6 linked regions of the Danio rerio genome follow. The protein of the gene in region 4 interacts with the protein of the main gene of each other region in a pairwise test. Links are inferred from orthologs where the notes say so. Each region holds a gene or a part of one and is shown on either strand. Other genes may lie near its edges.

What was found.
Region 1: the proteins of morf4l1 (region 4) and sh3glb2a interact in a two-hybrid assay, tested with the Homo sapiens proteins (2 studies listed by BioGRID and IntAct). The link is inferred for Danio rerio from reciprocal best matches to the Homo sapiens genes MORF4L1 and SH3GLB2.
Region 2: the proteins of morf4l1 (region 4) and mrgbp interact in binary tests that used the Homo sapiens proteins (3 or more experiments, as listed by UniProt). The two-hybrid records come from large-scale screens. The link is inferred for Danio rerio from reciprocal best matches to the Homo sapiens genes MORF4L1 and MRGBP.
Region 3: the proteins of morf4l1 (region 4) and fxr2 interact in binary tests that used the Homo sapiens proteins (3 or more experiments, as listed by UniProt). The two-hybrid records come from large-scale screens. The link is inferred for Danio rerio from reciprocal best matches to the Homo sapiens genes MORF4L1 and FXR2.
Region 5: the proteins of morf4l1 (region 4) and l3mbtl3 interact in binary tests that used the Homo sapiens proteins (3 or more experiments, as listed by UniProt). The two-hybrid records come from large-scale screens. The link is inferred for Danio rerio from reciprocal best matches to the Homo sapiens genes MORF4L1 and L3MBTL3.
Region 6: the proteins of morf4l1 (region 4) and lzts2a interact in binary tests that used the Homo sapiens proteins (3 or more experiments, as listed by UniProt). The two-hybrid records come from large-scale screens. The link is inferred for Danio rerio from reciprocal best matches to the Homo sapiens genes MORF4L1 and LZTS2.

What each region holds. Positions count from the first base shown.
Region 1 is NC_133183.1:3,988,864-3,993,003, reverse strand, and holds the start of sh3glb2a (endophilin-B2a), read right to left. Parts: upstream 2,801-4,140; 5' UTR 2,716-2,800; coding exon 2,653-2,715; intron 2,340-2,652; coding exon 2,198-2,339; intron 631-2,197; coding exon 502-630; intron 1-501.
Region 2 is NC_133198.1:17,436,447-17,439,946, forward strand, and holds part of mrgbp (MRG/MORF4L-binding protein), read right to left. Parts: intron 1,978-3,500; coding exon 1,896-1,977; intron 1,817-1,895; coding exon 1,742-1,816; intron 1,526-1,741; coding exon of another isoform or gene 1,377-1,525; intron 1-1,376.
Region 3 is NC_133182.1:22,701,746-22,706,044, reverse strand, and holds the start of fxr2 (fragile X mental retardation syndrome-related protein 2), read right to left. Parts: upstream 2,801-4,299; 5' UTR 2,738-2,800; coding exon 2,687-2,737; exon of another isoform or gene 1,523-2,686; intron 1,193-1,522; exon of another isoform or gene 1-1,192. UniProt on the Homo sapiens protein: mRNA-binding protein that acts as a regulator of mRNAs translation and/or stability, and which is required for adult hippocampal neurogenesis. Specifically binds to AU-rich elements (AREs) in the 3'-UTR of target mRNAs.
Region 4 is NC_133193.1:21,420,883-21,424,987, reverse strand, and holds the start of morf4l1 (mortality factor 4-like protein 1), read right to left. Parts: upstream 2,801-4,105; 5' UTR 2,618-2,800; coding exon 2,578-2,617; intron 2,505-2,577; exon of another isoform or gene 1,984-2,504; intron 1,636-1,983; coding exon 1,589-1,635; intron 1-1,588. UniProt on the Homo sapiens protein: Component of the NuA4 histone acetyltransferase (HAT) complex which is involved in transcriptional activation of select genes principally by acetylation of nucleosomal histones H4 and H2A.
Region 5 is NC_133195.1:2,232,574-2,236,073, reverse strand, and holds part of l3mbtl3 (lethal(3)malignant brain tumor-like protein 3), read right to left. Parts: intron 3,277-3,500; coding exon 3,141-3,276; intron 1,891-3,140; coding exon 1,799-1,890; intron 1,028-1,798; exon of another isoform or gene 152-1,027; intron 1-151. UniProt on the Homo sapiens protein: Is a negative regulator of Notch target genes expression, required for RBPJ-mediated transcriptional repression. It recruits KDM1A to Notch-responsive elements and promotes KDM1A-mediated H3K4me demethylation.
Region 6 is NC_133188.1:20,766,707-20,770,206, reverse strand, and holds part of lzts2a (leucine zipper putative tumor suppressor 2a), read left to right. Parts: intron 1-2,425; 5' UTR 2,426-2,452; coding exon 2,453-2,962; intron 2,963-3,500. UniProt on the Homo sapiens protein: Negative regulator of katanin-mediated microtubule severing and release from the centrosome. Required for central spindle formation and the completion of cytokinesis.

The sequences.
Region 1 (4,140 bases), on a different chromosome or scaffold from region 4:
TTGCGTCATGCTTACGCCCCATTCACACGGGGCTTCAGCGTCAAAGCTTGACTGAAGGCGTGTCTGACGTTGGGGCTGAAGCGATCGTCATAGAAGCATCAGCCAATGAAATTCAGTCAGCAATAGGCCACTGTCCAGCTGGTGTATTTGCATACAGTGATCTGATTGGCTGACGCTTCCGTCGGCACTTGAAAAGTTGAGCTAGTCCCAACTTCTGCAGCGAGCATCGCCTCTGAAGCGGTGCCGACGGGTCCACAATGTAGTTCGGCAATGCCTGACATCACCCATTCAAAGTGAATGAGAAGCGTTGACGCTGACGTCCCGTGTGAATGGGGCGTTATTATTTAAAGATGACTTGATATCATTTGTGTTATTATTTAAAACTATTTAATTAAAGTTTTTATTCTCTAAATTTATGCAAATATACCAGCAATTCTAGAATCACCCATAAATGAATGATAATCACAGTGTTTAGACTAATTTCTGAGAGTAGACTCTTACCATATGGTGTTCCCGGTCCAAACTCCTTCGCAGCCTCCAGCATGAACTGGGATAAAATCTCTCCATTGGTGGCCCGTGGTGGAATCTTCCGGTCAAGCTTCTCATACAGGAACTCTTCAATGCGAGCACCTGGTACACAGACAGACATACAACATTAAAAAAAAAAACACAGACAACATCAAATGGCAAAAAAACACAAGCAGCTATAGTAGGAAACTTAAAAAAATAAGACAACAGAGCGAGAAAACAATGATTTGAAATTGATGACTTTACAAAAAAAAACAAAAAACAAATGCACACTTAAGTTTTTACAGTCACTAATGAACGGTTATTTGGTTTCAATGTTTCAAAGGGGGGAAATAATAGCATAAAAAATAATACGTAAAAGCTTTTAAAAAAAGTATTTTAATTATTTATTTAATTTTATGTTACTGAAAGATGAATCAATATCTATGTATCTGCTAGTTAAGTGTGACTTCAAGCAAAGCAGCTTCTGGGTCCAAGCGCTCTATCAAACTGTATAGTAGGACTCAACAAATGGTAATAATAAATGTTTTTAAAGCAATGCAATACTTTCAAAAATCCCAATCACAATATATATATATATATATATATATATATATATATATATATATATATATATATATATATATATATATAAATAAATATATAAATATATATATATATATATATATATATATATAAATATATATATATATATATATATATATATATATATATAAATATATATAAATATATATATATAAATATATAAATATATATATAAATATATAAATATATATATATATATATATATATATATATATATATATATATATATATATATATACATATGCTAGGGTTGGGCGATGTCGACCAATTTGGCATCGTACGATGTCTAATATAAACATTGTGATGGACGATGGCATCATCGTCATAGACAATAATTATGAATAATTAATTCATAACGAATTTATTATTTGTAGCCTACCGTTTTAACTACCTGACCCGCATGGTCTTTGTTTTACCGATAAACAAATCATAAATGAATAAAGATAAGTTACACACATAATTACCACCTGTCAATCACATTTTCCGCAGGACTCATGAATAGGCAAGAATAGTCAGAGTGATCTGTGTCGTTATGATGGCGTCGACAAACTTGGTTGGTAAAAAGGGTGCACAACCAAAAGGAACCAACCAATAGTATCTGAGGTGTTCGCTAAAATTACTAAGTACAAGCGTGAAAGCAAAAGATTGAACCAGTCTACTGACCCACTGACTGCCTGGACCCGCTGTCTTGAGCGCATGACTGTGTGTGCGTGTGTGTGTGAATGAGTGTGTGTGGTCACTTGATGTGCGTTTTGCAGTGGACATGCTGTAAAATAAAAAATTAAAACAAAATGTAAAAACTCTAAATTGTAGATTTTTTTTTTACCCAAATGATGTAGGAAATTATTTGGGTAAAAAATATAAATAGTTGGGTCTCAGGAGGGTATAATTGTTTAAAAACACTGACAGAGACATTTGCAGTGTTTTACAGTACAAGCCTAAACAAACAACGTAGAAAGGGTCTCACTATTTTGGGAAAAACGTTATTTTTGTCATGAGAAGCCTGACATTTGCATAGAATTGGAAGAAGCTGATACCGTAATAATAGGCATGCATGTGTACATTATATATCTTTGAGTCTAACCCGGGTTTGGCTGGAGCAGAACTTCAGTCTGCCTGTAGATTTTCTCTGTCCAGTTTTTGGTGCAATCCGCTCTGGCCAACAGATTCTCGAAGTGAGTGTCCAGTTCAGTCTTCTCAGCCTGTCCCAGTTTCTCCTCTGTAAACTGTCCCAATAAAAAAACTCCATTAATATAATATTCCTGAGAGGAAACACATCAGAATAACAAACCAAACAGCCTAAGATATTCAAACATGGCTAGTTGTCGACTAATATCCTAATTTATTTATATTTACCCTACATTGACAGCGTGTACTATGTCAGAAACAACATTTAATTGAGGTGAAAGTGAAAATGTGTGATTGTATCAGTGAAACTCGGTGTTTTGTGTAAACGCAACGGGCACGCGCGTCACATTAACTGTCACTCTCACTGTCGCCTTTACACTTATTTACATACCGAAAAACGGCATCTCTTACCTGGACAGCGCGGGAAAAGAATATCCCAGCATCCGAGGCGAGTTTCCTCACGTTGAAATCCATGTTGTGAGCGGAGAGAGAGGAGAAATCCCCGCGGCATCTGGCACTCCGCAGAGGCCAGTGAGTTTCTGACTGTCCGCCTGATTCTGTGGAAAAAACCGTTCTCTCCTCAAGATGGCGCCGCGCGGCTCATGGACCCTTTTCACATTTCCGGGTTTCTCAGTAACGGAAGTCGTCATAGTTGGATAAACTTTTTTTTTCTCTCAGACGGTGTACAACAGTCAATGGTGTACATTAGCTATGTATTTTTTGATGTATCTTGAGTTAATAAAGGTAACTCAGAGCCAAACGTTCATGCTTGTCAATTATTGGGACTCTGGAAATTAGGGTAAATGCTGAATCATGCTAATATAACTTTTAATTTGCCAGTCACCTGGGTTAAGCACTTCCGGCAAACTGTATTCAATGCAAAAACCGGCGCGGTAAAGGTCTGTTTTCTTTAAAAATCAGCGATCTCCACTAGCTGAGTGATATCCGATATAAAGTGGGTCTCAGATTGTACAAGAAGCACTGCATTAAATTACATTTCCCCCGCCATATCTTTATAATATGAGCATTTATTTTACCCCAGTATATTCAATGTAGCTTCTGCGCTAGCCTGCAGATTCTGACGGGCGCGTGCGAGTAAACGGCTTTTTGTCTGGTTTTACGCTTGAGCAACTAAATGAATGGCAAAGTTTATTTAACTGAATGTATTTTAATGACATTACAACATCGATGCTGTATAAGGAACCGTATAAAATGGAGAAAAGTCCACAATAACAGGTCACCGGAAGTGTATCAGTATGGGAACAGCACTAGCTCGACATATTGACCTTATTCTAAAATGTGGAAGTGCGCCTGTTTTCGCGATTGTCTTAGAACTTCCGATTCAGTCGCCTATGGGAGAAATGACTAGGAATAATAAACGGCAGAAAATGGCCAAACTACTTGCTCAACAAACAAATGTTTGCATGACTACACAGACCAAGTAGCATAATATAATAAGAAAATTTTAAATTGCAACATCAAGCAGCGTAACGAGCAGTTGTTAACGTCAAAAAATGAATGGAAGTGAATGTGACCGGAAGTCGCGAGACAAAAATATTCAAATGGCAGCGCCCGCTCGACAGCTGAGAATAAGGTGAATACCCTATACACAGCAAACTGGTAACACACCTGCTGGTCTTCTTCTCAGCCCCTTTTTATACTGCACGCACCATCAAGTGACACATCGCCCCCTACTGGACAACATTATTATGCCATACTACACTCCTTCCCACATAAATCCAAAGACAGTCCCCCCACATTTCACAATTAACACCAATATAGATAAAGTACAACAGATTATTATTTTTTTTTTCTTCACATCACAAAGTCTTTTAAGTGTTTTGGGGGTTTACGCTCCCTCCTTGAGCGTCGTAGCCCTTCGGTAGACACAGTTTCAGA
Region 2 (3,500 bases), on a different chromosome or scaffold from region 4:
GTGTGGGTGGGTGTGTGTGTGTGTGTTTTGACTCTGAAAGTCACCCCACCCAAACAGACACTCCTCCGACACTCCCCCCTAAACAAAGCTGGACACGGCCACTTTTCTGACTTTTTCCAAAGTAGAGGTGTGAAAACACCCTGCTGAAACGAGGGGGCTTCATGGCCCTTTAATGTGCAACTGCAACACATTATTTGTTACTCGCGGGACAATAACGTATGACGACACGTGCCTACAGACATATTTGCCAAAGAAGCTAAATGGAAGAAGAATATTGCTGTTTGATACCGACGAATTGATGTCAATCCAGCGCTGATGCTGATAGCCTCCTGGATTTGCATCATAACAAAACAAATTGGCTTTAGCTTTCATTTTACAGCTTATAAAGCATGTATGCAAATCAATGCAATATCATATTTAAACAACAAAACGGTTTACAAAAAGTCAACATATGTGCGCGTTGACATTGTCTTTTCATCATGCAGCGCACGCACTTGAACCGCGAGTGAAAAGGGAAAATATAGACTATATAAAATACATAATCTTTAAAATAATGAATTCTATTTAAAATGTAAAAAGGTTTTGTGATATAAAAATGGCGGGGCATTATATAAATGCGTATTTTTTGTGGAGCGAGCAATTTGAGAAAGACTGCTATTTTTATTTGTTGGAAGACAAAAACATATGATTGGAAAAAAAAGCCTATGCCTGTTTTTAAAAAGGATTCAGTCAATGTTTTCATTTTGTAATCTAAATTAATAAATTAAGTAAAAAATTATTTAGGGCATGCCTATTTATTTTATACATTTTATTCAGTTTATTTTGTTTTTCTATGGTGTTGGAAACACTGCAGGTGCGTGAAGATGCTCTGTTGTTATGTTTTGTTATTAATATGCTACCATGTTAAAATAAATTAGTATTTTAAAATGCAATATTTAATGTGTCAGACACAAAATAGACATGTAATTTTTTTTCTATTTAATAACAATGTAATATTTATCTGACCAGTTAACCGTTAATATCCTATTAATGTGCGGTGGTTGTCGGTTAGCAAAATTAACTGAAATGAGCACCACTAATTTGATGCCTAAAATTATGTCAACAAAATGAATAATCACGTTCTACTCTAAAGTTTCAAACTAAAGGTCAAAGCCATGTGTGCTATTTCCCTCAACCTTGCTACATTTTTGAAAAACTGTTGAACCATTTTGAAACACCATTATCATATAAAGCTGTTGCTTAACAAACCCGTCAAAACATGCCAACATGCTTCCCACCACACATACAGAGAATAACAGACTAGGGTGCACATAAAAAAAAGACAAAAGAGAAAGAGAAAGGAGGACAGCGAGAGAAAGACGGAGAGAAAGACGCACATGGTCAGAGGTCTCTGAAGGCTGTCTACAGAGGCCTCTGGTAATGAGCTGGCCTGTACTGAGCTCAAGCTGGAGTTTTGGAACAGAGCAAAACGTTTTCTTCTGTCCATACCTCGCAAAATCCTGGCCAGCCATACTGGGACCCAGACCTTTGAAAATGAGACAGAAATGACCAGTGTGAGCTTCACTGAGCTTCACGCCAACGAGAGAACGATCCAGAAAAAAAAAGTAGTAGTAGTGATGCAATGACGCAGATTTTAATAGACGGTTTACTTAAAAAAAAAAAAAGAGAGAGAGAGAGAAAGGGGGCAAGCAAAAAGAAAAGGGTGACTAGATGAGAGAATAAAGAGAGTGAAGGAGAGAACCTTCTTCATGGGTTGCAGGAGGGTCGCTCTCTTCTTTGAACTCCTCTTTCACGTCATCTTCAGATCCCACTTTACCTACAACAAGATTTGAATGATCACTAAAAACAAATATGTCAGCTGGGAGTTAAAACACTGAAAACTAAGAGGAGCCCACCTTCCTTGACGTCCTGTATGATCTCTTCTGGAAGCACAAAGCTCTTTTCAGAGTTTGGAAATGGAAGTATTTCTGATTCATGCTGTGGCAACAAAATTAAATTTGCTGATTAAATTTGAGTGTTGGATAAAATAATTGCAGCAAACAAATAAAAAAGTAGACAATTGACCCTTCGCTAAGCCACACCCAACAACCGCCACCCACCAATCGTGGCTTAGCAACTGTAGCTACTTGCAGGGGCTCTGTCAAGCTTTCGAGCGAGTATATATGGATTGTGCAAATCTGATACCCGGTATCCTTAAAAGTTTGGACGGGATGGTGGAAATTTTTCCCTTTTCAAAACCTAAAACCCAAGGGGAGAAATGCCAGCGTAGATCAAGCTGTGTGAGGGACGCTAAAGGAGCGGAGCTAAGTCGCTTTTGTTTTGATACTCCTGACACATTCAGTCATAGATGGACGGCAAAAACTCACACACCTTTAACCCTACACAGATCTAAACTGTACTAAAATACAAAGCAGGTTATGTTTCACAGCTGTCTTATTCCTTTTTTTTTTTTTTGCTCAATATTTTGAGTAATGCTCCGTTTAAGCCTTCGCTATAATGTTAGTAACTTAATCATACTAATAGTGAATAGGTCATAATGACACGAGTTATTGATCCGGAAAATACTAATCTGCAAAATCTGTTTACTGAACTTCATATTTCCATCTTATTTCAAGCTAAATCAACAAAACAAACAGAGATATTATCACAAACTGAGCACTTGCAATCAATATACTTTACCAGCAATTATTCTACCATTTGGAACAAATCCATCAGTTTCCCCTTTCTGGTTGTTCTTTCTATGAATGAACTATGTAAAAGCACTGTCGTGCGTGTTTCCTCGCCAGTTAGTAACGCTATATTTCATTGCACAACAATTAATCTATCAGGGTTTTTGGCTAAAAAATAGAGAAATCACGGTTTTTAGTTGTTATTATTAGATTATTTTAAAATTTCACCTCTCCTGAGGCGGCTAGGCTAAGCTACCTTCAATTTTGATTGAATTATTCTCTAATTGGTTGCCTATTATGCCGTGAATATAACCCTGTATTGCATACGGCAGTCCTTTTTTGTCTGGCTCTCTCGGATATCTCACTTGTTCGCCAAAAATGACATTAAATCCCTGGCAATGTTTGACACTGGCGCACACACATTGAAAAAGCTGTGCCAGGCACGAAAGCTTGACAGGCGTAGCAACAGTAACTAAGGAGGGCGGGGCTTAGTGAAGGGTCCATTGACATGGATTGTGTGATAGGGATGGGAGGATAACCAGTTTCAAAGTTTACCACGGTTCAGAAAAAATAAATAAATAAATCAAGGTTTTAGAACCACAAAAATGTTCTGTTATACCATTCCTAAGGTGTATGTAAGATTTTAATCTTAATGTGTTTTTTATGTTTGTAAAGAAATCTTTGTTTTTGAAACTAATAAACACAAAATATTACAAATGTTGCAAATAAAGTAAAATATAGTGTTCAATGGGGAAAAAGGTTGTCATTTTTTTACCCAGACATTTAAAAAGAAATTATTTTAGAGCAGTAATCACAATACCGTGAAATTTT
Region 3 (4,299 bases), on a different chromosome or scaffold from region 4:
CAGCATAAGTGTTTGCCATTGAATCATGTTGGCATCTGTTTCTTAGGGAGTTACATAGGGAGCAAACAAAACTTGCGTGAGGCAATGTGATATACATAGCATGTGCTAACACACATTTAGCTCCCGAAGCAACACCTATGCCACAAACGTGGGCACATGCATGTCACAGGTGTAGTACAGGGTAGCATGTGAATGTGAGACGTAATTGAAGGGGTCGGGTGGAGGCACTCAAAGTCCCCTCCTCAAAATCTGTTCCTCATCCATCACTCCTCCTTCCTCTACTAACCTCAGAGCTGCCATAAAACGATTACCCCAGTCGCCACCCCCATTATAGCTTAGCTACATACTGCCAATGCCTAATATGGGACGAAGTGGCTGAGACGAGGGTGAATGAAAAAATTAGACAGAACGAGTTCCAGTATGTAACCTGCTTGGAAGAGGCAGGCTAGTTTCCGGAAAACTGGCACAAGCACATACTGTATGCAGGCCTATTTAGAGCCATGTGCATATACATACAACCCCTTAATGCATTAACCTGCATTATCACGCTTGCCAAATAATGAACCAACTATAAAAGATGATCCTACGGTATTAATTTATGCACGTCAATAGGACAAGACACTAAACCAGCGTAAAAAGAGCTGTAAATCTACATGTCCAAAAATGGAGCTCCCTTTACAAGCTTTTAAAAATGAAGATTTAACGCCTGCTAATTTACAAGTCAGCAAAACAGACTAAAAGCAGCTGGGCAGGCTTTTAATATAAACTGTCCCATGTTGAAACTGTTCCAACATACTAGATTGTGAATTTACATATTAGTGTCTGCTGGCCAGTTCTGTGCAGGAGAGGCGTTAGGGTGGCCTTACGTTAGGGTGGTATTTCTGGATATGTAACACTACAGGCATGCAGGACCCAAGAGGATGAGTGGCAGATAAGTAGTGTATGACGAAGACCCCCGGCCACGTGGAGGTCTCCATGTGCATCTTCATTCATAGCATTTGAGGGAACCTTGAAGAAGCTTGAATTGAAATAAACTGCATGACTAAAAATTATTTTACAAGTTCTGACTTATGGAAAAAAACATCAATATTGGGGCAGACTTTACACTATGTATACACTGTATACTTGCTGTATACTTGCTCCAACTCATAGTTTGGTTACAAGACCCAAGACTTTAGAACCAATGTTGTATCTATTAAGGCAGTGGTTCTCAAACTGTGGTACGTGTACCACTAGTGGTACGCGGGCTTCCTTCTAGTGGTACACGGAGGAATGACATATATCATGTACATGCTACATATATTTCAACATTTATAAAAAATTATGTGTATAATATGCCATATATGACATATAGCCTTTATTTCTGAGGTAATATGCCATGTTTTTTTTAAACTGTGCAGAGTTGTAGCTGCTTTACTGGGCATACTACGCTACTGTATTTCAATATTGCTTATTTTGGTGGTACTTGGAGAAAGAATTTTTTTCTGAGGGTGGTACTTGATGAAAAAAGTTTGAGAACCACTGTATTAAGGACATTTCAAATCTCAGACCAAACTATTTTTATTAAGTGGTAAATAGTCAATGTAAACTCAAATTTAAGGAAAAGCCTGCAACAATTAAATGCTACATTTAAAAACCTGAAAAGAAGAAAGAGTATTCAAATAAAATAGGTGCTACTAGGACTAAAAAAGACCTAAAAAAACGTAAAGACAGCAAATGATGAGACCAGAAAAGAAGAGAGTTGGTCAGTTTTGGTAGGGGGTTGTAGAGTGTTGGGTGTCAGCAAAGAGATCACCTGTTCCTCTTCCACCTGCTTTGGCCCCTCAGACTTCTACAGCTTGAAACAGCCGACACAATCACAGTACTATCCTTAAATCACAACCTATGACATAACATGACCATCCATACTCTAGTCATTGATATAGAGACCTTTTTTAAATGTAATACAGCATGTTCTTCACGAAAGCAAGATAAGTGGTTTCCCACTGTTTAACTTGAACTCAAACTGACCAAACAAAGAGAATATCACTGTGAATTCACAACCAATATGAAAATTAAACGACCCAACCTGACACTTTAATAAGCTAGTCCAGCCACAGAGTATCTATCTTAAACAGTTAAAACCAAAAATAAAAAGTGATCATCATTTAGGAAGAATGACAACATCAGACAACATTTGCTTAGACTGCCTGGAAATAATTAAAACACTGTCGGTCCACACTTTGACTGCCTTTCCTTTTTGTGGAACAAAGAATAAAGAAAGGGTTGTGAACAAGATGAGGATGATACATGATGGCAGAAATATCATTTTTGGCCTTAACTTCCCCTTCAAGCACTGATGAAATGTCCCATCATGTCTCTCAAAACCAAGTAACCTGCTCATCCTCTCATAAAATCTCCCAAAAATGCTTTCTATGTAGGGCACCTCGGTTGATTTTGAGATATAGCCACTGGCTTCTTGTCTTGTTAGCTAACCTGCTAAAATGACTCGGTGATTCCCCTGTTTATAGCTGAGAAATGAGAAAACAACACTGTACACACACAACCAGGCCGATGATCATTAGGTCTCGGGCCTCTTTGAAAGTGATACACATGACTGCATCACATCTCGGCTGTCCCGACCCGCTCGCTGATGCGTACACTGGAGCTTTATGGTTTAAAATGGGTTCATTTTAAATGAAGTTACCTTGTAGAAGGCCCCGTTGGAGCCGCGCACCTCCACCGCCAACCCGTCCATGTTCGTCGTCGCTTCCCCACGGCTGTGCCTCTCTTTAGGCGCTACGATAGCGTGCGAGTCCGGTACCACCCCCAGCTTCACGGGCCTCTCGCCGTTCTCCGGCCGCTTCTGTGTGTCCAGTGTTTCGGGTGAGAGAGGGGGCAAAGGTGACGGGGGAACACAGGAGCCACAGGGAGGGGGTTCAGCTCCGACACCCCTTACAGCAAGGCAAGCCAACTCGAAAACGGCTGCCTACAGCGCGAGGGAAGCTCGCGGGAGTGCCGTTAGTGGCCGGTCTGAAGCTGGACTGATGCTGTCTGATGACGGTGGATGTAAACGAGGTGTTAGCACAACAGCTAGCGCAGCCGCTAATCAACGGGCACCGACACCTTCTGGCACTTGATCTCGCGGCTCCTGCATATGTCGGGATGATTCTCGTAAAAATCCTCTATGTTATATCTGAAAACGCTGTTGATTAGGACGTCTGTTCTTTGATAAGACTGTGATGCTGTGCTACTTCACCCTTCCCCTCCAACACACGCCGTCAGAGTGGAGCAGCAAGACTGTGAATGACCCCGAAATCCCCACCCCTCTCCACTATACGCCCCGCCCAGCGCAGAGTTTGAGGCTTTGATTGGTCTACCACACTGCCACTTACTAACAGCTGGAAGATCTGATTGGTGGAGCTGTCGGGGGCTGGTCGATGCGGACTCGGTGCTCGCGGCTCCTGGTTCGCCGGGTTTGTCCTATTAGCGCCAGTTGTGTAGTTGCTATATTTGGGTGGCTCTGGTTGGTTTTTGACGACAGACCCACTCCTGATTCACAAAAAACTCCGAAATGTACGTTTCATGAAACGACCAGACTTTATAAAAAGCTCGTTATTTAGGAATACTGATAAATAAATATAATGTGTGTCAAACGCGAGATGCAATTTCTATTTTGAGCAGATGCTTTCATAACACACCGTGCAACCGCATGAAAAACAATCATGAAATGTATCAAATCTAAAACACTGGTCTCACTCTGAATAATTTGATGCATTAGGCACAACTGATTGATTTTGTATGTAAAAATCCGTAAAATCAAAGAATTGACATGAAATGTGTAATCAAGCCCCGTGACAGGTCCACTAATTTATTTTTCAGCAATACTTTATTGTTGTGGATGTTGGATCATGAAATCTCACAGCTTCAAGTTTATTGTTGAACTGGGTTGGGTTATACTGGGAATACAGGCCAGTAGCCTGGTGAAAGGGATGGTTCTTTTTTTTCAAAAAGTGGACCTTTTTGCAGTTATTCACCTCAATTTTCTATTAAATTATTAGATCTAAATACTGTATTTTGAATTAAAACCAAATGGGAGGAAGAGTTGGTTATTGATATTGATGAGGAAACATGGGATGATGGTCTAAAGCTAAGAAAATATCTGTTTGTACACGTACAAGGGAATACAATATAACATAATACACAGTCTCTATATCGCTGCTAACCGCAGACATCTAGTTAACACTTCTAATTCACCTACATGTGTTCAAAATGTAAAACTGATGCAGGTACTTATGCGGTTATCACAATCGGAGGTTC
Region 4 (4,105 bases):
TTACTTGTTTTATTTCGGCTAGAATAAAAGCAGTTTTAGATTTTTTTAAAACAGTTTTAAGGTCAAAATTATTAGCTCCTTTAAGCTATATTTTTTCAATAGTCTACAGACCATTATTATACAATAACTTGCCTAATTACCCTAACCTGTCTAGTTAACCTAATTAACCTAGTTAAGCCTTTAAATGCCACTTTAAGCTGTATAGAAGTGTCTTGAAAAATATCTAGTCAAATATTATTTACTGTCATCATGGCAAAGATAAAATAAATCAGTTATTAGAAATGAGTTATTAAAACTATTATGTTAAGAAGTGTGTTAAAAAAAACATACTCCATTAAACAGAAATTGGGGAAAAAAATAAACAGGGGGGCTAATAATTCTGACTTCAACTGATATTCCAAAACTTTTTATTTAGTCCATTCTTTTTAACATAATATTGTATTATCATGTAGACAACATACAGAAAGTATAAATATATCCTCTAGTAAATATTATAACAAATAAATAAGTCTAAAATATTCAGATGCATCAAAATAAACTTTTGCTACCAGCAAACTATGTTTATATATTAAACTATATACTTTACTACATCTGTCTTATATACACCTCTGAGCTAGCTAACTTAAACTGACTTCATCACTGCTCTTATCAAATGTCCAATCTGCATTATTCTCATTGTCACCATCTCATCCTCACGTTCATCTGTGGGAAGAGCCAGTTGTGTCCTTTTCTTCTTTCACTAACTATAGAACATTGTGGTCCTCACTAATACACTGTTCCTTGTATTTATATCTAATCAAATGCACTGCCATTAAAATTAGATTTAACCATAAAGCAAATGCCATTAACATACAACTAATCAACGTTATATTACTAGCATTCATGTTGTTATTGTTACAACTTTAAAGACCACAGCTGAGCTGACCTAGCTAGCTAATCTATCGCAATATCGCACATTCCTCTATTGTACAGCATTTCCATTTGCTAGCACATACATTTGATCGACTTACAAAATGCTAATTTGATCAAAATCTTTTTGAGTTGTGAATATGTCATCATAACTTATTGGATGTGATGTCTCAGATTTTGTTTGTGGATCTGGCATGGGTTGATGCTTTGATTTTATTGACTTTTTCATTTGCTTTCAGCAACTATTCAAAATAAACGCCAGTCTAACAGAAACCAAGCCACAGAAAAACACTGCACGTCATGTGACTTAACCGAAGCACATCATTGGCTACACTAAGGTCTTCTCTTTCCAATAACCACAAAAAAACAAAAAAAACAAACAGAACGTTGGTCTTAAAGAAACACTGGCAGAAGAAGAAGAACAGTGGCACTGGCAAAAATTAACGGTATTATGTTGCCATATGGCAACACCATGGGGTAGAGGGCTAACTATACAAAAACAAATCCCTTTACTTGACACAGAAAACAATACCAAAGCATTAATATGATAAACAAAACCACTACAAACACATGACTACATTTACACTATAAATGTAATGCCATTCAGGTACTGCTTTCAGGAAAACAAATATCAAAAAGCCTTTTGAAGCATGCATAATGGCATGAATGATTCAGGTACCTTAGCTTCGTATAGCAATGGCCCATGAAAGCACAGCACTCGTTCACCTGAAAAAACATCAGAAATATTAATATACAATGACATCCACTAATGGGCTAATAAATAAAATAGAAGTGTTACATATTCAAATATGTGTGTGGGCACAGAATATTGTACTTTCAGAAAATGCCACAACAAAGAAATGTTTTAAATGTATAGTAGATTTATAACAGTCTGCAGTATATTTACCATATTGTTTGTTTGAATCATAATTAAGCTCATTATAACCAAAATATAATTAGCATTTTCAATACACAATACTTAAACAAACGAGAAATACGCACATTTAAAACCTGCTTATATAGTCAAACAATACATCAAATCTGACTGTTTACTTGACATATGCGTTTACTTACAATCACCAACAATATTAACTCATATTAGAGTCCCAGTTCAGGAATCAGATTCAGAATAGAACACTGTTCTAAAGATTCGATTCTATAGAACGATTCATTCAGTTATCAAAAATTGCTAATGGTCATTTTAATGCAATAATATAGCCTTTCTTTGCTCATTATCGACTTCAGTTTTAGAACAGCTCCGAGCTAACGTCGTTGTTTTTACGCTTCAAATAAGTAAATGACTGTTCCCGCCAGGACTTCAATACTGCAATGGCCGCTTCCTGTAAACAAGGCCTGCTGTATGCTAACGGCTACATCATAGACAACAGCTAATGTTTTGTTTCAGGAACACGCCGCTGTGTGCGTCTGCAGAGGCTGTCAGATGCAACGAAAAGCACCAACGTGCGATCATGCACTCGCTTGACAGGTGATGAACAACTCTGCACAAGTTAAAGGCGGCAACTCTCAGCTAAAAAGTGTTTTGTAACAGACAGCTCGCCGTGCGCGCGCGCCATTGTGCAGCGGCAGCGCCCGCTTCCTTTGCACGGCAGAATGAGAGGATCCCCGATCGACGGGTGACTCTCGTGGATGAAACAAAGCGCATCTTACCTTCTTGAAATTTAGGTTTAGGGTCCTGTTTAGGCGCCATTCACAGATTAAACAATAAAAATAGCTGGAAAATCAAATCCAGGCATTGCCAGCTCCGATTTAATTCACGCAGGGTGAAGGCGCCGCGCTGCGTTCCTATGACGCACTTTACTGGCGCCCTTGTCAGGTGACTCTCATAATAAACAGCGTTTATCCAGCAGCCCCTGTTGACGAATGACAGAAGTTGTGCTCTACTCACGGCAATACATGTAAATAAGTGCATTTATGCAGATATATTTCAACGTTACGCCACGCCTCTTCTATAATTTATGTTTTTATTTCTTGTTAAAATTTAAAGGGGTAGCTGCACCAAAAACAAAACAATTGAGGTTATGCAAGGTGTACACGACTTTTGTTTATATATATATATATATATATATATATATATATATATATATATATATATATATATATATATATATATATATACATATATATATATATATATATATATATATATATATATATATATATACATATATATACATACATACATACATACATACATACCATACACACAGTTCTCAGCATAAATAAGTACACCCCTCACAAATCTATCTTTTAAATTCATATTTTTAATAGGAATCTATACTATATTAGTCAGTACTGAAGCAAATCTGGAGCCTATCTAACAAAATAACTTACGATAACAGTCCAAAAATAAGTACAGCCAAATTTATGTTATAGAAAAAAATATTAAATGCAAATTTAAGAAAAGAGAAAAATAAATAAATAATATTTTTTTTATAGGTTGTAAGTTTTTTTGGGGCCATATTTTGCTTGAATTTAATTGTATTATCTTTAAAAAAATTTATGTTTGGTGACTAAAATATTATTTCATTAAATAAATTTGTTTAATAAATTTGTTTCGTTTAAATGCACCACAATACATTGCCTATATTCACTGACAATTGGATACACATATGTGTGTACTTAATTATGCTCAGCACTACACACACACACACACACACACACACACACACACACACACACACACACACACACACACACACACACACACACACACACACACACACACACACACACACACTTTTAAGTCAGAATTATTACACCGGCCCCTCCGGTGTAATATCTTTTTATTATAAAAAGATATTATCTTTTTATAATATTTCTAAATTATGTTTAACAGAGCACAGTATGTCTGATTATATTTTTTCTTCTGGAGAAAGTCTTATTTGTTTTATTTCGGCTAGAATAAAAGCAGTTTAAAATTTATTATGTATCATTTTAGGGTCAAACCTATATTAGCTCCTTTAAGCAAAATTTTTCAGACTGTGTACAGAACAAACCATCGATATACAACAACTTGCCTAATTACCCTAACATGTATAGTAAACCTAGTTAAGCCTTTAAATGAGCTAAGCTGTATAGAAGTCTCTTGAAAATTATCTAGTTAAATATTATTTGTCACCATGGCAAAGATAAAATAAATCAGTTATTAGAAATAAGTTATTAAACTATTATGCTT
Region 5 (3,500 bases), on a different chromosome or scaffold from region 4:
TATTTACATTTGCTAAATGCCAGAATAATAAGATAATTTTTTCTTTCTGAGAATTTTCTATTAATTTCTAGACAGTCTAAAGTTTACACACATTTCCTTGGTATTTTTTTTAGCTTTGCTTTTAAACTGTATAACTTTGGTCAAATGTTTTGTCTCCTTCCACAAGCTTCTCACAATAGTTTGCTGGAATTTTGGCCCATTCCTCCTGACAGAATTGGTGTAACCGAGTCAGATTTGTAGGTTGTCTTGCTCGCACAAGCTTTTTCAACTCTGCCCACACATTTTCTATAGGATTGTGATCAGGGCTTTGTGATGGCCACTCCAAAACATTCACTCTGTAGTTCTTAAAGCACATATGAACTAATTTGGCAGTATGCTGAGGGTCATGGTCTGTTGGGAAGACTCATTTGTGGTCAAGTTTTAATGTCCTGGCTGATGTCTTGAGATGTTGCTTCAGTATTTCTCCATAATGTTCTTTCTTCATGATGCCATCTATGCTGTGAAGTGGACCAGTCCCTCCTGCAGCAAAACAGCCCCACAACATGATGCTGCCGCCCCCATACTTCACAGTTGGGATGGTGTTTCTAGGCTTGTTGATTTCCCCTTTGTCCTCCAAATGTAACACTGCTCATTATGCCCAAACAGTTCAATCTTAGCTCCATCAGAGCACAGGACATGTCTCCAAACATGAGTCTATTCCCAGTGTAATTCAGCAAATTGTAATCCGGCTTTTGTGTTGATTCTGGCTTGTTGATTCTCCATGTTGTCACACAAGGAAGCAGTGTGTTTGAGCTTTTCCTTCAATACTATTCTACAGCTGTGCCTCACATGAACTCAAATGTTGTCAATTAGCAAATCAGAAACGTCCAAAACCCTGACATCATCATCTGAGCTTTTCCAGAGGCAGAATAATCTGATTGCTATAAACTTGACTTTCAACAAGAGTTATAACAATTTCTCAAACAATCTCTCTCTCATTATTCTGCTATTAAGCAGAACAGACACAAATGTGATCATCCTTACTTACCTAAAAGAGAAAAACTCTAGTCACATTAAACATCTGACTTTTTTAAATGGTTATGTGCCTTTTTATCCAGTGTATGTAAACCTTTGCGTACAACTGTATAACTAATGGGAAAAACATCCAAAGATCGGTTCTTGCACAGTGGATAAAGGAAATGGCTGATAATCTCACTCTTGAAAAATGAACATGTGTAATCAGAGAAAAAATAAGTGTGGTCCTTTTTGGTCACTTCATAAAAGGATAAATAAAAACTGGATGTCTTTGGAAAGATGTTTGCAATTTAAAATTCAATGCAATAATGTGTTTTTTATTATTATTATTGTTACCAATTATTTAATTAAGTTATTATACACACACATGCACACACGCACATTAGTCAATTTATTTTTGTATATAATATTGTATTTTAGAAAATATTTGTCGTTCTATAACTTATTTTAAATGGTATTTCTGTTTAATAAATGTTGGGTTTTAAAGGAAACATTCAGTTGCGCTGGCATCTCTGTGCTGTAGCTGTTAAATCACAAAGGGTTTAGCTTAAGGCACGTGTGTGTTTATGTCTTGCTGAAGTGAAATGAAGTTAAATGAATTAAATGAAGAGAAACAGCGCCATCTGCAGACACACACACGCACACACGCACACACACACACACACACACACACACACACACACACACACACACACACACACACACACACACACACACACACACACACACACACACACACACACACACACACACACACACACACTTCTGTGGTTTCCGCACTCACCATGTTCTGGTTGTGAAACAGGGCTTTGGGTGCCGTCTGGATTTTATTGAGCTTGATGTAGGAGGACCAGCTGAACTCTTCATCCTTCATCCCTACACACACATTCATTTACACACAAATTAGTACACTATATATTCACACACATTCATACACACAATCTAATATATACACACACACATTCATATGCACACAAATAATATATATACACACACACACATTCATATGCACACAAATTATTATGCTATATACACACACATTCATATGCACACAAATTAATACACTATATATACACACACACACACACACACACACACATTCATTTACACACTTAATCTAATATATACACAAACAATCATATGCGCACAAATATATACACACACACACATTCATATGCACAAAAATAATATATACACACACATATTCATATGCACACAAATATATACACACACACACATTCATATGCACTCACATTAATATATACACACACACATTCATATGGACACAAATTAATACACTACATATACACACATTCATTTACACACACAATCTAATATATACACAAACACATTCATATGCACACAAATTAATATATACACACACACACACATTCATATGCACACAAATTAATATATACACACACACACACATTCATATACAAACAAATTAATACAGTATATATACACACACATGCACACATTCATACACACACAATCTATTATATACACACACATTTATATGCACACAAATTAATATACAGTACACACACACATTCATACACACACAAATTAATATATACACACACATTCATATACCCACAAATTAATATAGTATATAGACACACAGGCACACATTCACACACACAAACTAATATATACACACACACATTCATATACGCACAAATACATTTATAGACACACATTCATATACACACAAATTGATATATATACACACATTCATATGCACACAAATTAATATACACACAATTGTACATACAAATTATATATATACACACACATTCATATACAGACAAATTAATATATATACATGCATTCTTACACACAAATTGATACACACACACACACACACATATTCATATCCACATATTATTATATACACAAATTCATACACACACACACACACATACACACACACACAGACACACATACACACACACACACACACACACATTCATTTAGATAATTAATTCATGCATGCACACACATTCATGTACACACAAATTCACACACAAACACACACACACACACACACACACATTCATAAACACACACATTGATATTTACATACACACACATAAACACACATCACATATTCACCCGCACACCTTTCGGTGGGTGTAACTTGTGTCCGGTTTTCTCACACCAGCCCACAGGGTGAATGTCGGGAGAGTTGGAGTTTACCCAGAAGTCATAGCAGTCAGAAAAGTGATCAAAGTGGAGTCTGATTCGATGCCCTGACACCTGAACACACACACACGCGTACACACACACACACACACACACACACACACACACACACACACACACACACACACACACAGGAGAAACGAAGAGAGAATTATTAGCCGCCCTTTATATTTTTTAGGATACTAGTATTCAGCTTTAACTGACATTTAAAGGCTTAACTTGATTAACTAGGCAGGTTAGGGTAATTAGGCAAATCATTGTATAACAGTGGATTGTTC
Region 6 (3,500 bases), on a different chromosome or scaffold from region 4:
GACTGGCAGGCTCTTTGCAGATTATTCCACATGGCAAGGCTGCTCTTAGCACACAACAGCAGACTAAATATATACCCTTCAATGCCCATCTTTGAAATAAACTCTAATACACCAATTCACAAGATATGCAATGTGCTGCTAATGCTTGCTTGCCCTTTTTTTTAGAAGTTTTGTTTTATGTTATGGCCTTTAAAGTTACAGTATGTAATATTAAAACATTAATCATGTTGGTTACATGGATAATTTAAAGAGCTAGAAACCTAAAAGTTGTTTGTTCGATCCCTGCAAAGAGCGCTATCATTATTGTGCAATTTGTTTTTCAACTTGTGTGAAGTTAAGTTTGCATTGTAGATGAACTGCCACAGACTAAACGGCAAAAACATTACATTTTAAACATTTAATTTCGAACCTTCCGGTGGAGAGAGTGTTTGCTGGTGCTTGCTGGTGTTGAGGTTATGCTACAAAAAAAATATTAAAAACGAAAGAACGATAAAACACCAAAAAAGATTACCACACAGATGGAGGAGGTTGATGATATCAAGCGATCGCTGGATATGTTGACAGAAGAAGTCTCTGTTGTTAGACAACAGCAGAAGACGATCATGGGCCTGGTGGAGGAAGTGAAAGCCTTGAAACTACAAAACATTGTAAAAGAAAAGAAAATACATACATTTTTGTATGTAATGACTCAGGTAATGAAATGAGAACTATTAGTTTTATGAATATTCAGTATTCACAAGTTAAGTTAATCTTGACTGACATGACATTAACAAATAATAATGTTATAAAAGAGCAGAGAGTTATATGAAAGCAATTGATGCATGTCCAAAGGCATTTGCAATCTGTTGGAAAGAATGATAGACTGCTACTATGATGTGCACAAATGACAATTTGTTTTGAGAAATGCATTAACTGTTGTGCAAATGTAAATAGTGTTGTGAGAAATGTATCAAAGCAACTGAGAAAAACTGTAATATGGAAAACAAACTGTGGCTGGCTTTGTTGCGTCTCCTGTTTTCAAAAGAAGAGTCCTACATTAAGTACATAGTAAATGTGATATAAACTTTAATGCAGTTAAAAATAAGGGAGGGCTTTATTAAAAGGCTTCCTTCTAGTGGAATTTCTGAATAACTAAAGTAAAAAAATGAACATACTTTAACCCTTTAATGCGTACGATAACACCAATGTGATCAGTAAATTTTTTTTAAAAGGCTGAACCTTTCATTTTATTTTCAATTTTCTAATGTTAGTTATGTAATCTCCTCCACATATTTGTAACGGTTGTTGGGGGCGTATTTCGTATTTTTATATCCCAATGTTGACAGGTATGGTTTAATCACTTGCTTTTATGACACACAAAGCCTACTCTAACGCACAGTAAGCAGATTTAATTTCTAATTTAAATATGTAAATCCAATTCCTTTATTTAAAATATAAGTTAATGTTTAAATTTCAAAGATATACAAATAATTTATATATACATTCAACATATATTTCAAAATGTATCAAAAAGAGTTCATATATGAATATTATGACATATAGCTTATATTTATGAGGTCCAAGGAACATTACCAGGTTTTGATGGATAGGCTACTTTTTGTTAATGCTTTTAAGTACAGCTGTTTACTTTTTAAGAACAGTGCCACATATTGATTTAAACTGTGACTCTTTATTTCTTTTTAATTGTAAGCACAGTACAATCTTAATGTTCAAACTATTTATAATGTTTAAAGTGGCTGACAATAATAAATATTCATAATAAGAAGACTTAATCTGCCACGCTTTTGCACTGTGCAGTGATGTAGCTGCTTAATAAAGCCTACTGCGCTACTGTATTTTAATACTGGTCATTATGGTGGTGCTTGGAGAGACACATTTTTCCTGAGGTGGTATTTGGTGAAAAAAGTTTGAGAACCACTGAGCTAACCCAATGTAATTGTATGTTGTTTGGCTGATTACAATCCACATGAAACACCGACAACTTCATTTTTGAAAAATACATGTAAACAGTTTATGCACACTTGATCAACATTTTGCCCTCCATCCTGTAGTTGCTAAAATTGTTGAATGCTACACAAAAAAAAAAAAGTTTTGACCATCTTGTCACTGTAAAGCATTGCAAATTAAGAATATTACATTAGGTGAAAATACACTTCTCTATGGCTAGTTCCTAGAACAGAGTTCTGTAACTACCTGTTGAAAAAAGCCCATCGAGATACAAAGATTTTTTTTTTTTGAAAAGCAACCTGTGGCTATACTCTGAGTACAATGAGAAATTTAAGCTGTGACATCAACATGTTCATGTGTTTTAAAATGATGAAGCTAGTGTAATTATGACCAACAGAATAATCTATTTTACAGGATAAATGACATCCATGCCAATTACAAAATCTTTATTCCTTGTCCACTGTTTTTCTCTCTACAGAGTGTGTGTCCTGGTCGGGTGTTCACCATGGCTCTAGTTCAGGCACTGCCTGTACCCACTGATCACCCAAAGCCCAGTACTGACGTCCAGCAGTGCTGCTCAGTGTCTCACTCCCCCACAGTAGATGTCACTGGCACCATGGGTTCTGTCAGCAGCCTCATCTCTGGACGTACCTACCAGGAACGCCACTGTCGAGCCGCCAGTGACTTTGGTGCCAGATATCGCAAACCCACACCAGCTACAAGCTGTTTTCGACAACAAGAGGGCACACTGCGCAGCTCCAGCTCACAGGAGCAGCTTCTGAACAGTCAGCCTCCTCTACCCGCTAAGAACAAGTCTTCTGCCCTCATCTCGGCTGGCAATGGCAACTATGGCTATTTGAGTGATGAGCCAGTGGGTGATTGGAATGATAATCACGTGAGCACATGCAGCCCATCCAGTGACACTGAAGAACCTTCTGATAACAGAGGCATGAATGGTAACATCGGTGGACCTCCGCCAAAACTCGTCCCAGTGTCAGGCAGGTTGGAAAAGGTAAGTCTTGGAGTTGATCAGTTGACATTTGAAAACAAAAATAATACAATAAATTGTAAATTAGTGACAATGTATTTAAAAAAAAATTAAGATATAAAGTGAACCAAAATGCAGTAACCAAGAATACAATCAGGCAGGGTTTGTAAAGTTATTTCTAGAAGTATACATGATTTTTTAATTGATATCATGCAGATATTTTTCAAAAGAGACTTACTGTAAAAAACTGTTTTAGTTAATTTAACAGTGTTTAAACCCTGGACATTTCTTAAAGCATTTTCTTTCTAATGTGACCCACTGTTTCGTTGTTGAGGTGTCATTTAATTGTTTTAGTATAAAGAATGGCGGCTGACAATTCACACATCTATTCAGCTTTTCCTTTCCAATGAAGAAGGAGAGCATTTAAATACTGCAAAACGTCAATATGCCATCACTCACCATACACATTTAATCAATGATACCTCATTACACTTACAACACTAAAAGATGGTGTTCTTGGAGGTTTAATGCATTTAATATTTTTAAGATACACATGTGAAATGGC